Oryzias latipes: one gene and its partners. The main gene of each other region encodes a partner of the protein of the gene in region 3 in a complex. Links are inferred from orthologs where the notes say so. Each region holds a gene or a part of one and is shown on either strand. Other genes may lie near its edges.

Region 1 (2,527 bases), on a different chromosome or scaffold from region 3:
TGGATTACCAGAACACTCCAGGTATGGGATCCTGCTCTATTTGAAGAAAGGTTTCAAATTTTAGAATGCTTTGTGTCCCGAAAGTCCAGAAGTTTTCCCTCCCCTGATCTAGTTGGATAATCTAGGATGCACTATTAGGGTAGTTGTGATTATAGCATTATGTGGTGTCTCTAAATTGCCCCTAGGTGTGAAGGCTTAAAATAAGTAATTTATTTGAAGTATTTTAATAATTTATATTACTGACCTTGCATCAGAATAAACTTTATTAAGAACTAAATGCAATGTAATAGACCCTGTGTTTTTTTCACTAAACTTTATTGCACATTTTTCAATCTACAGAAATTCACATTCAGTGACACAATAAAGAAACAATTGCAAATATCATAAACACATATAAAAACCAAACAACAATAGTAATTGGCCCTGTTTGTGTCTGTGACAATGAGCCAACGCACATTTCCTGTTTTAACATTCTATGCCATCATTGGTTCAGTCAATATAGTGGATCGACTTCTAGCCAATCATAACCCCCGTTATTTTAAGGTGACTGACTGTACAGCGCATGCGCAAGTTGCAAGCCAGTGAGACATGAGAAAAGCTAAGAGTTGTGGAAGCTAACGGTAAAAAAAACAATCGTAACTATTGTTATTCTGCTTGCTGTAAAATATTTTCTTTGGGGTTATTGATTCTATTTTTCCCACCCTGTTTGTTGTGGGACGATAACCTTTTGTTTGCTAAACGCCCCGTTTGTGTTGGTGTGGGCAGCTCTCTTGTTAGCAACACCATGCTTGTTCCGTTCAAACGATAGATGAGGCATTTTATTTCTTTTTTCGTTCTTTACAGGTGAAAATGGACGCACAGAAAGATTTGCAGCCGCCCAAGCAGCAGCCTATGATCTACATTTGTGGAGGTATGATGGCACTGTTTATGCAGTTAGCATAGCAATAGTAATTTCATCATCATGATGTTTTCCCATTTCCCTACACTACAATAATTACATTGAACGCTTTGATTTATTTATTTAAAAATTTTCAGGATTAAAGAGGTTGAACGAACTTTATAAAATATAGTACAGTTTTAAATAAAAAGAATGATTTAGAAAAAGGAAAACCTGTTTTCTACATTTTAGTAAAAGCACAGTCCTTTCACAATATTATTAAAGTTTTGCTAAATTAAATTTCCTCATGATGTGATCTGAAAATAGGATTATATAAATGTTTTTGCTGAATTGTGTGAAACTGTTAGCAAAATGTCTTCGCCAGAAACCAAAAGCAAACAAGCCTCAGAGATCCAACTTTTTTAACCGAACAGTTGGCATTAAATGTAGGATGCAGCTACTTTTTAAGCATCTGATAGTAGAAAGAAAAGATAGAAAGAAAGTTTTAAAAACAGACTCCATTTTTTAATTGACTCACACCCATTAAGTTGGAAATATTTGGGGCTCACTGCATCTTTTGCCAGTAGGACTGTAAAATTGATTCTTCAAACGGGGCTCTAAGTCATCCCAAAGGCCCTAAAAATGTCTAAATGACAATATTTGTGTTTATTATTACTGTTATACGTGTTGCTTCTCTCGGGCCTCTCTGAATTACATGTACCAACAGTTTTACTTTTTTCCTTTCAGAATGTCACACTGAAAATGAAATCAAGGCTCGAGACCCCATCAGGTGCAGAGAGTGTGGCTACAGGATCATGTACAAGAAGAGAACAAAGAGATGTATCCTTGTTTTTGGTCATAGTGTGGGTTTGGAAAATAAACAACTCTTTATTTCCACCAAAGATTATTAATTTAAATAAAATTCCTCAAATGTTTGAACTTTTCCTTGACTTTTTCCCCCCAGTGGTTGTTTTTGATGCCCGGTGAACAGGATGAATGAAGCAGATTTAACTTTTCTTTGGTTCAGTATTTAGTGTGTGAAATTGTAAATAAAAGGACACTTAAGCCTGACTTTTGATTTGTTTCTCATTTATTTTAGTATTCTCTTGTTTTATATTGTTTTCCATCCATCAAAAAAATTATTACATATTTGTAATCAAATTACAGATATATTTTTACAAGTCATGGGTAATAAACTGCAATAGAATCACAAACGAAATACAAGAATGTTTTTTTTAATGCACTGTACTTTTACTTTAGTGAGAGTGTAATAGAAAACAAAAATACTCTTAGTGGACACTGGTTGTGTTGGTCTAGATTTGTTTTTCATTTACTTTAAATTAGAGGATTTATTATTACCAACATTCTGATCAGTGTAATAAAAGATGATTTTATACACCAGCTGGTTGCAGCACAAGAATTATTGTTGAGGACTGTAGCTTCTCCCAAAATTTCAGTTAAGTGGTTGTGGAAGGTAGTTTCAAAATGTAACACTTTACAGATTACTAGTTAGTTTATAACTGCTAACAGCTTTTTTTGGTAGTGTAAAAATGCTCATTTTTGTTTGACAGTACTTTATTTAAGCTCAGAGACCATTCAATTTTTTTCTTTTTTTATGTTAGACCATTTTCTTTGAAATTTAGATGGTTA
Region 2 (2,881 bases), on a different chromosome or scaffold from region 3:
TTTGTAGTGAGGAACAGTCCAGGTTAGCAGCTAGAAAATATGCCCGTGTGGTGCAAAAGCTCGGTTTTCCTGCAAAGTTTTTGGACTTCAAGATTCAAAACATGGTGGGCAGTTGTGATGTCAAGTTTCCCATTCGTCTGGAAGGACTGGTCCTCACACATCAGCAGTTCAGCAGGTAATTTCTCCTTGTTTTACTGCAGATTTAAAGAATCCGTATAAAAATCCCTGAAAGGCTTTTCAAAAATGTGACAGTTTAATCGACTATTGACAGTTATTGATAAGAAAATATGTTGGGACAGCTGTGCTGACACACATGCCAACTTAGGTATTAAACATATATGTTTAACATAAAAGAAAATATTAAGTAAAAAAATAAATCTGAATGGATGACAAATGATATAAATGTACTGAACAAGCACCACAATGATATGTATGCATCAGATTTTATTAATGCTCCAAAACCATCCATTTTTTAAACTGGTTTCCTGCAGTGTCTGTAAATCTGATAAGCAGGTCAGAATTGAACAAAATCCTAAACCACAATCTGACTCACAGACAGAAGTTTGACACTCAGATGGCAAACTATATATTTTTTTTTTATTCTCCTGGTTTTATTTTGCTTTTCTAAAATGAGGTAATATTTGTATTGCAGCTATGAGCCGGAGCTTTTTCCAGGCCTGATTTACAGAATGATCAAACCTAGAATTGTGCTGCTTATCTTTGTTTCTGGGAAGGTGGTACTCACAGGTAAGTTTTCACTAGACTTTTTTGTTTCCTATTGTGAGTAAAACAGGATGTTAACTGTATGTACTTATTGTTTACACTTTTATTTAGCATTTTTCTATTTTTTCTTTGTTCTCCGTGAAGTATTTAGAATTTTGTTGATGTAAAATTGAAGTTCCAAAACAGATTTTTAAATTCTTTTTGATGAGCTTTACCTTCTGTTTTTTAACTTATTGTATTTATTTCTATTTTTAGGTGCCAAGGTGAGAGCAGAAATCTATGAAGCTTTTGAAAACATTTATCCCATCCTGAAAGGATTCCGCAAGACTACGTAGAACTTATAATTCCCTGTTTTCTATCCAAACGCTATAACTTTTTACATTTCTGTCTATTTTTTCTTTAATATTCACTGAGATGTTAACATTTTAATATTGACCTCTTCAAGTTGACAGTAAAGACTTGAATGTGAAAGACTATTTGTCTTTCCCTTAATTTTTTTTTTAACCAAAAAGACATTTTAAAGGTCCTCTGCTCGTTTCCTCATCACAATTGATCTTCACCCGGAACTTTACCTGCTTTTAGCTTTTACATTTTCTTCTCTTCCTCGCTGGCAAGTTTTCTTACATCGAATTGTACGAAAATGTAAAAAGTATTGAAGAAAAAGGCAGGTAGACCGGGACTTTTCCTGGTTTTATTTCAGTGTTTCAGGTTTTGTATATATTGCAAACTGATTTTTTTCTATCTTTACTCGATTTATGAATGATTTCTCCTTATTTTTTGGGTCAACCCCTTGTAAACAATCTTGCCACAAAATCGATTAACTTTTCAAATTTCAAATTAAACTGAAGCCATACTTGTCCCCAGGTTACAGTGAAAGCCCTCATTTTATAACGAATAGAAACCATTTCAATAATTGAGTTATCCGATCCAGACTGTAGTTTGTTCTGCAATAATTTGCCTTTACCAGTCAAAGTCACCCCATGTTTCCATCATTGCTTGAAGCTTTTTATTTTTTATGAAGAAACTGAGCATAATTGTGATATCAGATGTGCTTTATTGTAAAACTTGTACAAATGTATATAACTTATTTTCAATTATTAGTCATTCAAAGTTGATAGGATGTTCCAAAAAGCTTAAAGCAAACAGGAAACTTGGAAAAATGATGTTAACAGGCATTCAAAACAATAATGTTCATTAGTCTGTCTTCAATTTAAATGCACCAAGACAAAGGAGTTTGTTTTTTTCTATAAATCTCTGCAGAGAGTGAGTTAACAGTGTAAATGCTCCTGCTTGTCCTGGTTTTTTTTCTTTCTTTCTTTTTGCAAAACTTTGTTTAGAAAAGTACTTATCACTTTTTGATTTGAGTTTCTGGCACTTGTTGATTTCATTTTCTCGTTAACCAACCTAAGGATTACCTTTCAGAAGCCAAACTTTTAAAATAAGTTTCAACTTAACGTCTGTTCCACTTATTATGGATGTTGTCACCAGAAATCCATTTTCCATTTGGATACCTGTTCCTCCACAACTGTTAGAGCTGTACTGTGCGTTAATAAACGTGTTCATACATCCTGTTCATAAAGCAGAGTTTTGTCTTTGTAACATCTGAGGTTTTTTTTACTTTAAGCAGTGTGTTTGCCACAGACTCATTTATTTATCTGAAACTATCTGGAGGAAATTTTTTGAAGTAAAAAAAACCCCTTCAATTTCTTCAAGTCTAGAAAAGAAACTTGAATCGGTCACATTGGGTGGAAACCTATAGAGTTCATAGGTCATCAGATCCATGACATTCAGTAGTTTTTATACAGTTTTCTGTAAGTATTGTTAAATTGAACACTTTGAAATTTGAGTAACATGGTGGTTCAACAGCACAATATGTAAGGTAAAAGAACCAATGGTTTTCTCTTAGTTCTATTTATAAGCAGTAAAACAGCTGCTGTTATTGGAGATGCATCTGAATGAACGGCCCAAACTGGTCTGTAGTGGCACATGACTTGTATTGGCTAATAAGGTCACGTTTAAAGTTTACTCGGTTGAAGTTGTCATTTCGTGAATTTGAAGATGTTTCCAAACTTTTCCGTTTTGGTGTTTGTTGTATTTGTGGTTTTTGGATTTGTGACAAATTTTCTCCTCAAACATCTAGGTTTTCCATCTTTCAGAT
Region 3 (2,934 bases):
TCATATCTATGAAAATTCTATTAGAATTTAAAGCGCCCAAAAGTCAGATTTAAAAATATTGCCAGAAGTGACCTGAAGGATCTGCAGGAGTCCGACAAACTGGAACCGAGGAACAACCTCACCTGGCTGTGTCCTGGTCCCTCCTCTGCTGAGCTCGGTTCAGAGCGGTCTGCATCAGTTTGTACCACCTTCGCAGGTTAAACTGGGCCCCTGTCAGAGAGAAAGCATGAGCTTGAAGAGCCCCCACCAAGAGGACTCACACACAGGGGGCACTCACGGACCCTCTCCGTCTGTGGACCTGGCGTTGTTGGACAGCTCCCTGAAACCAGGAGAACCGCAGTGAGACGACCTGTCTGTGGAATGGATGTAGGGGGGTGGGGAGGGCAGGGCAGGGGGGGTTACCATTCGGTGTGGTCGTCCAGGCCAAAGAGGAGCTTCATGGTGACGATAATGAGCGCTGCCGCCTGCAGGTCGTACCGGGGCAGGGTGGGCTGGGACTCGGGGTGGAACGTCTGGCGGCTTTCATGGAACAAACCTGCGAGCTCCGCCACTCTGCAGACCCACCTGTGCAGCTCACCTGCAGACAGGAAGGAGCCGCTCAGCCCGCGCAGCATGCATGTCTGTCTGTCAGCTGGGACGGAGGAAGCTGTTACCGGGCAGGTTTGCATCGATCAGGTAGCGCAGGCTCAGTGGCCCCGGGTGGAGCAGAGTCTGCTGGCTGATGGGAGGAAACGCTGGAAGTTGCAGGAACAGAAGCAGATCCTGAGCCTCCTTATGCAGCGAGCGGTGAGACGGTACCGTCTGCAGAGACAGTTCACCACATCGTCAACAAACAGGAGAACACAGGGCAGAGGTCAGCAGCTCACTCACTCCAGGTCGTTACCTCTGCAGTAAACAGAAGAGCATCTTTGCCGAACAGCTTCATCTGCTCTGGGAGCTGCTCATGGGCCTTCACATACGGGACGCTTCCACAGTTCACCAGTCTGAGAGCAAACACAGGATCAGCCCAACATCCAGCAGTCCAACGCCTGGTTTGGAGGAGCAGATTACCCAAGCAGGTCGCTGAGAGTCAGCGCCTCCCGGCTCCAGACCAAGGCCAAGTGGATCAGGGCCAGAGTCTTCTTCAGGCTCAGGAGTCTATGGCTCCGCCTCTGACGGGGAGTCAGGTAACAGAGGCTGTCCGCTGATCCAGACCAGTCACTGCCTGAGGGATTAGGCTACATTTCAACATACAATACTCACAATACGTCATGGATATTGTGAAAAAAACAACAAACTCAGTGGATGTGATATACACAGAGACGTGGTGAGCGATACGCCGAGGTCAAAGGTCCTCAGGGTTGGCTTTGGGGAAGGAGGTGTAACAGTCTGGACAGGTATCACCAGTCAGGGTCAAACTGATTTGGTTATTGTAAATGACCCAGTCACTGAATGTTCTAACCTCAGAGACATCATAGAACCATTCTCATCCCCCAATTCCACCAGAACACCCCCAGCTTTCTGTTCATGGATGATTACACCCTATCACATGGTACCAGTACTGTCACAGCAGGACTTCAGGAAGTGGGAGTAGCTCATGTGGTATGACCAGCAATGACCCTTGACCTGAAACCCATAGAGAACGTCTGGGACCAGCTGAAGCAGACTGGATGATGGTATCCCACCCCCAAGTGAGCTGCAGAACTACATGCAGCACTTATGGAAGATTGGTTCAGACCAACACCATGAGGTTGGTGAGGAGACGTCACTGTCAAGCTGCTGTTGATGCAAATGCTGCAAATACCCACTATTGACATTTCTGTTATTTGGGGCTATTTTTATTATTGTCCTCATTTTAGGGGTAATATTAACCTAATGAAAATGTTTTTTTCTCATTAATTTTTAGTTATTAGTAATATCTCCAACTTTCTGTCAGTAGTCTAATTCAATAATTAGATAATAATAATAATTCACTCATTTCAAAGTCAGACCCCCCTGTAGTCCCCCAGACGGCAGAGATCTGAGGTCTGGCGTCTCCATAGTCCAGTGACCAAAGACTTCATGGCTGACCCCAGCTGCTCCTGCTGGGGGAGTCAAACATACCTCCTTTAGAGCTGGGGCTGCTGCAGGGATTTGACTCTCCATCCGTCCCGCTGGCTGATGCCACAGACGCCTCGGCTGCGCTGTCTGAATCCGAGTCTGCGTCTCCCTGGGGGGGGGGGGGACAGAACAGAAGGCTGCTGCAGTCATCATCACTCTTCCTCTGAAGACATTTATGTTTGTTCCTGCATTTGAGTGGATCTAAAAATTCAGACTAAACTGATATCCCTCCAGTTATGAAAAAGCATGGAGAGCATATGAATAAATAAACATCCGTGTTAGTACTCATTGAAATCATGTATATGATTATCTCAGCACAGATTTTCAAAGGAAGGTGAGTCACAGACTGAAACTGACCACTCTGAACTTGGCGCTCCTAACTCGGTTGACGCAGTAAGCCTGCCGGCTCTTCTGCAAGTAGAGCCTCCACAGCTGACGCAGCACGCCGTCCTAAAGCGGCGAGCCACACACTGATCAGACGGGCTCAGGCATCGATGGCAGATCAATACGGACAGATTCAGACCTTGAAGTGAGGATGGACTCCCAGCCTAAGCAGGGCATCCGCCTGGTTCATCAGGATGAACTGGAAACCTTCACAGACCATCCATGTGTGACGGCCACCTGAACGACACAGAACACGTGTGAGACAAAGAAACACAAACGTTTCAGATGGGCACTGCCATCAAACTGAGAGGAACCCAAAAGCATTTTCAAAGATCTAAAACTGGAAACGAAGCAAATGTCTGAATGAGAGTTCCAGAGTTTAGAAGCAACAAGGATTCATGGAGGAGCCTGAAGATCAGAGGATGCTGGAGGAAGACAAACCAAAACACGCTTTAATGCACCACGGAGACC

The links. Proteins that work in one complex are often made in the same cells at the same time.
Region 1: taf1b (region 3) and polr2k share a complex: the UniProt entries of both Homo sapiens proteins name them as parts of the pol I pre-initiation complex. The link is inferred for Oryzias latipes from reciprocal best matches to the Homo sapiens genes TAF1B and POLR2K.
Region 2: taf1b (region 3) and tbp share a complex: the UniProt entries of both Homo sapiens proteins name them as parts of the transcription factor SL1/TIF-IB complex. The link is inferred for Oryzias latipes from reciprocal best matches to the Homo sapiens genes TAF1B and TBP.

Annotation. Positions count from the first base shown.
Region 1 is NC_019869.2:7,020,610-7,023,136, forward strand, and holds the end of polr2k (DNA-directed RNA polymerases I, II, and III subunit RPABC4), read left to right. Parts: intron 1-425; exon of another isoform or gene 426-620; intron 621-843; 5' UTR 844-849; coding exon 850-910; intron 911-1,624; coding exon 1,625-1,717; intron 1,718-1,841; coding exon 1,842-1,864; 3' UTR 1,865-1,948; downstream 1,949-2,527. UniProt on the Homo sapiens protein: DNA-dependent RNA polymerase catalyzes the transcription of DNA into RNA using the four ribonucleoside triphosphates as substrates.
Region 2 is NC_019861.2:24,478,842-24,481,722, reverse strand, and holds the end of tbp (TATA-box-binding protein), read left to right. Parts: intron 1-7; coding exon 8-175; intron 176-652; coding exon 653-747; intron 748-978; coding exon 979-1,058; 3' UTR 1,059-2,302; downstream 2,303-2,881. UniProt on the Homo sapiens protein: The TFIID basal transcription factor complex plays a major role in the initiation of RNA polymerase II (Pol II)-dependent transcription.
Region 3 is NC_019882.2:22,300,505-22,303,438, forward strand, and holds part of taf1b (TATA box-binding protein-associated factor RNA polymerase I subunit B), read right to left. Parts: intron 2,701-2,934; coding exon 2,603-2,700; intron 2,530-2,602; coding exon 2,437-2,529; intron 2,189-2,436; coding exon 2,083-2,188; intron 1,205-2,082; coding exon 1,051-1,204; intron 984-1,050; coding exon 884-983; intron 802-883; coding exon 654-801; intron 578-653; coding exon 403-577; intron 320-402; coding exon 282-319; intron 211-281; coding exon 123-210; intron 1-122. UniProt on the Homo sapiens protein: Component of RNA polymerase I core factor complex that acts as a GTF2B/TFIIB-like factor and plays a key role in multiple steps during transcription initiation such as pre-initiation complex (PIC) assembly and postpolymerase recruitment events in polymerase I (Pol I) transcription.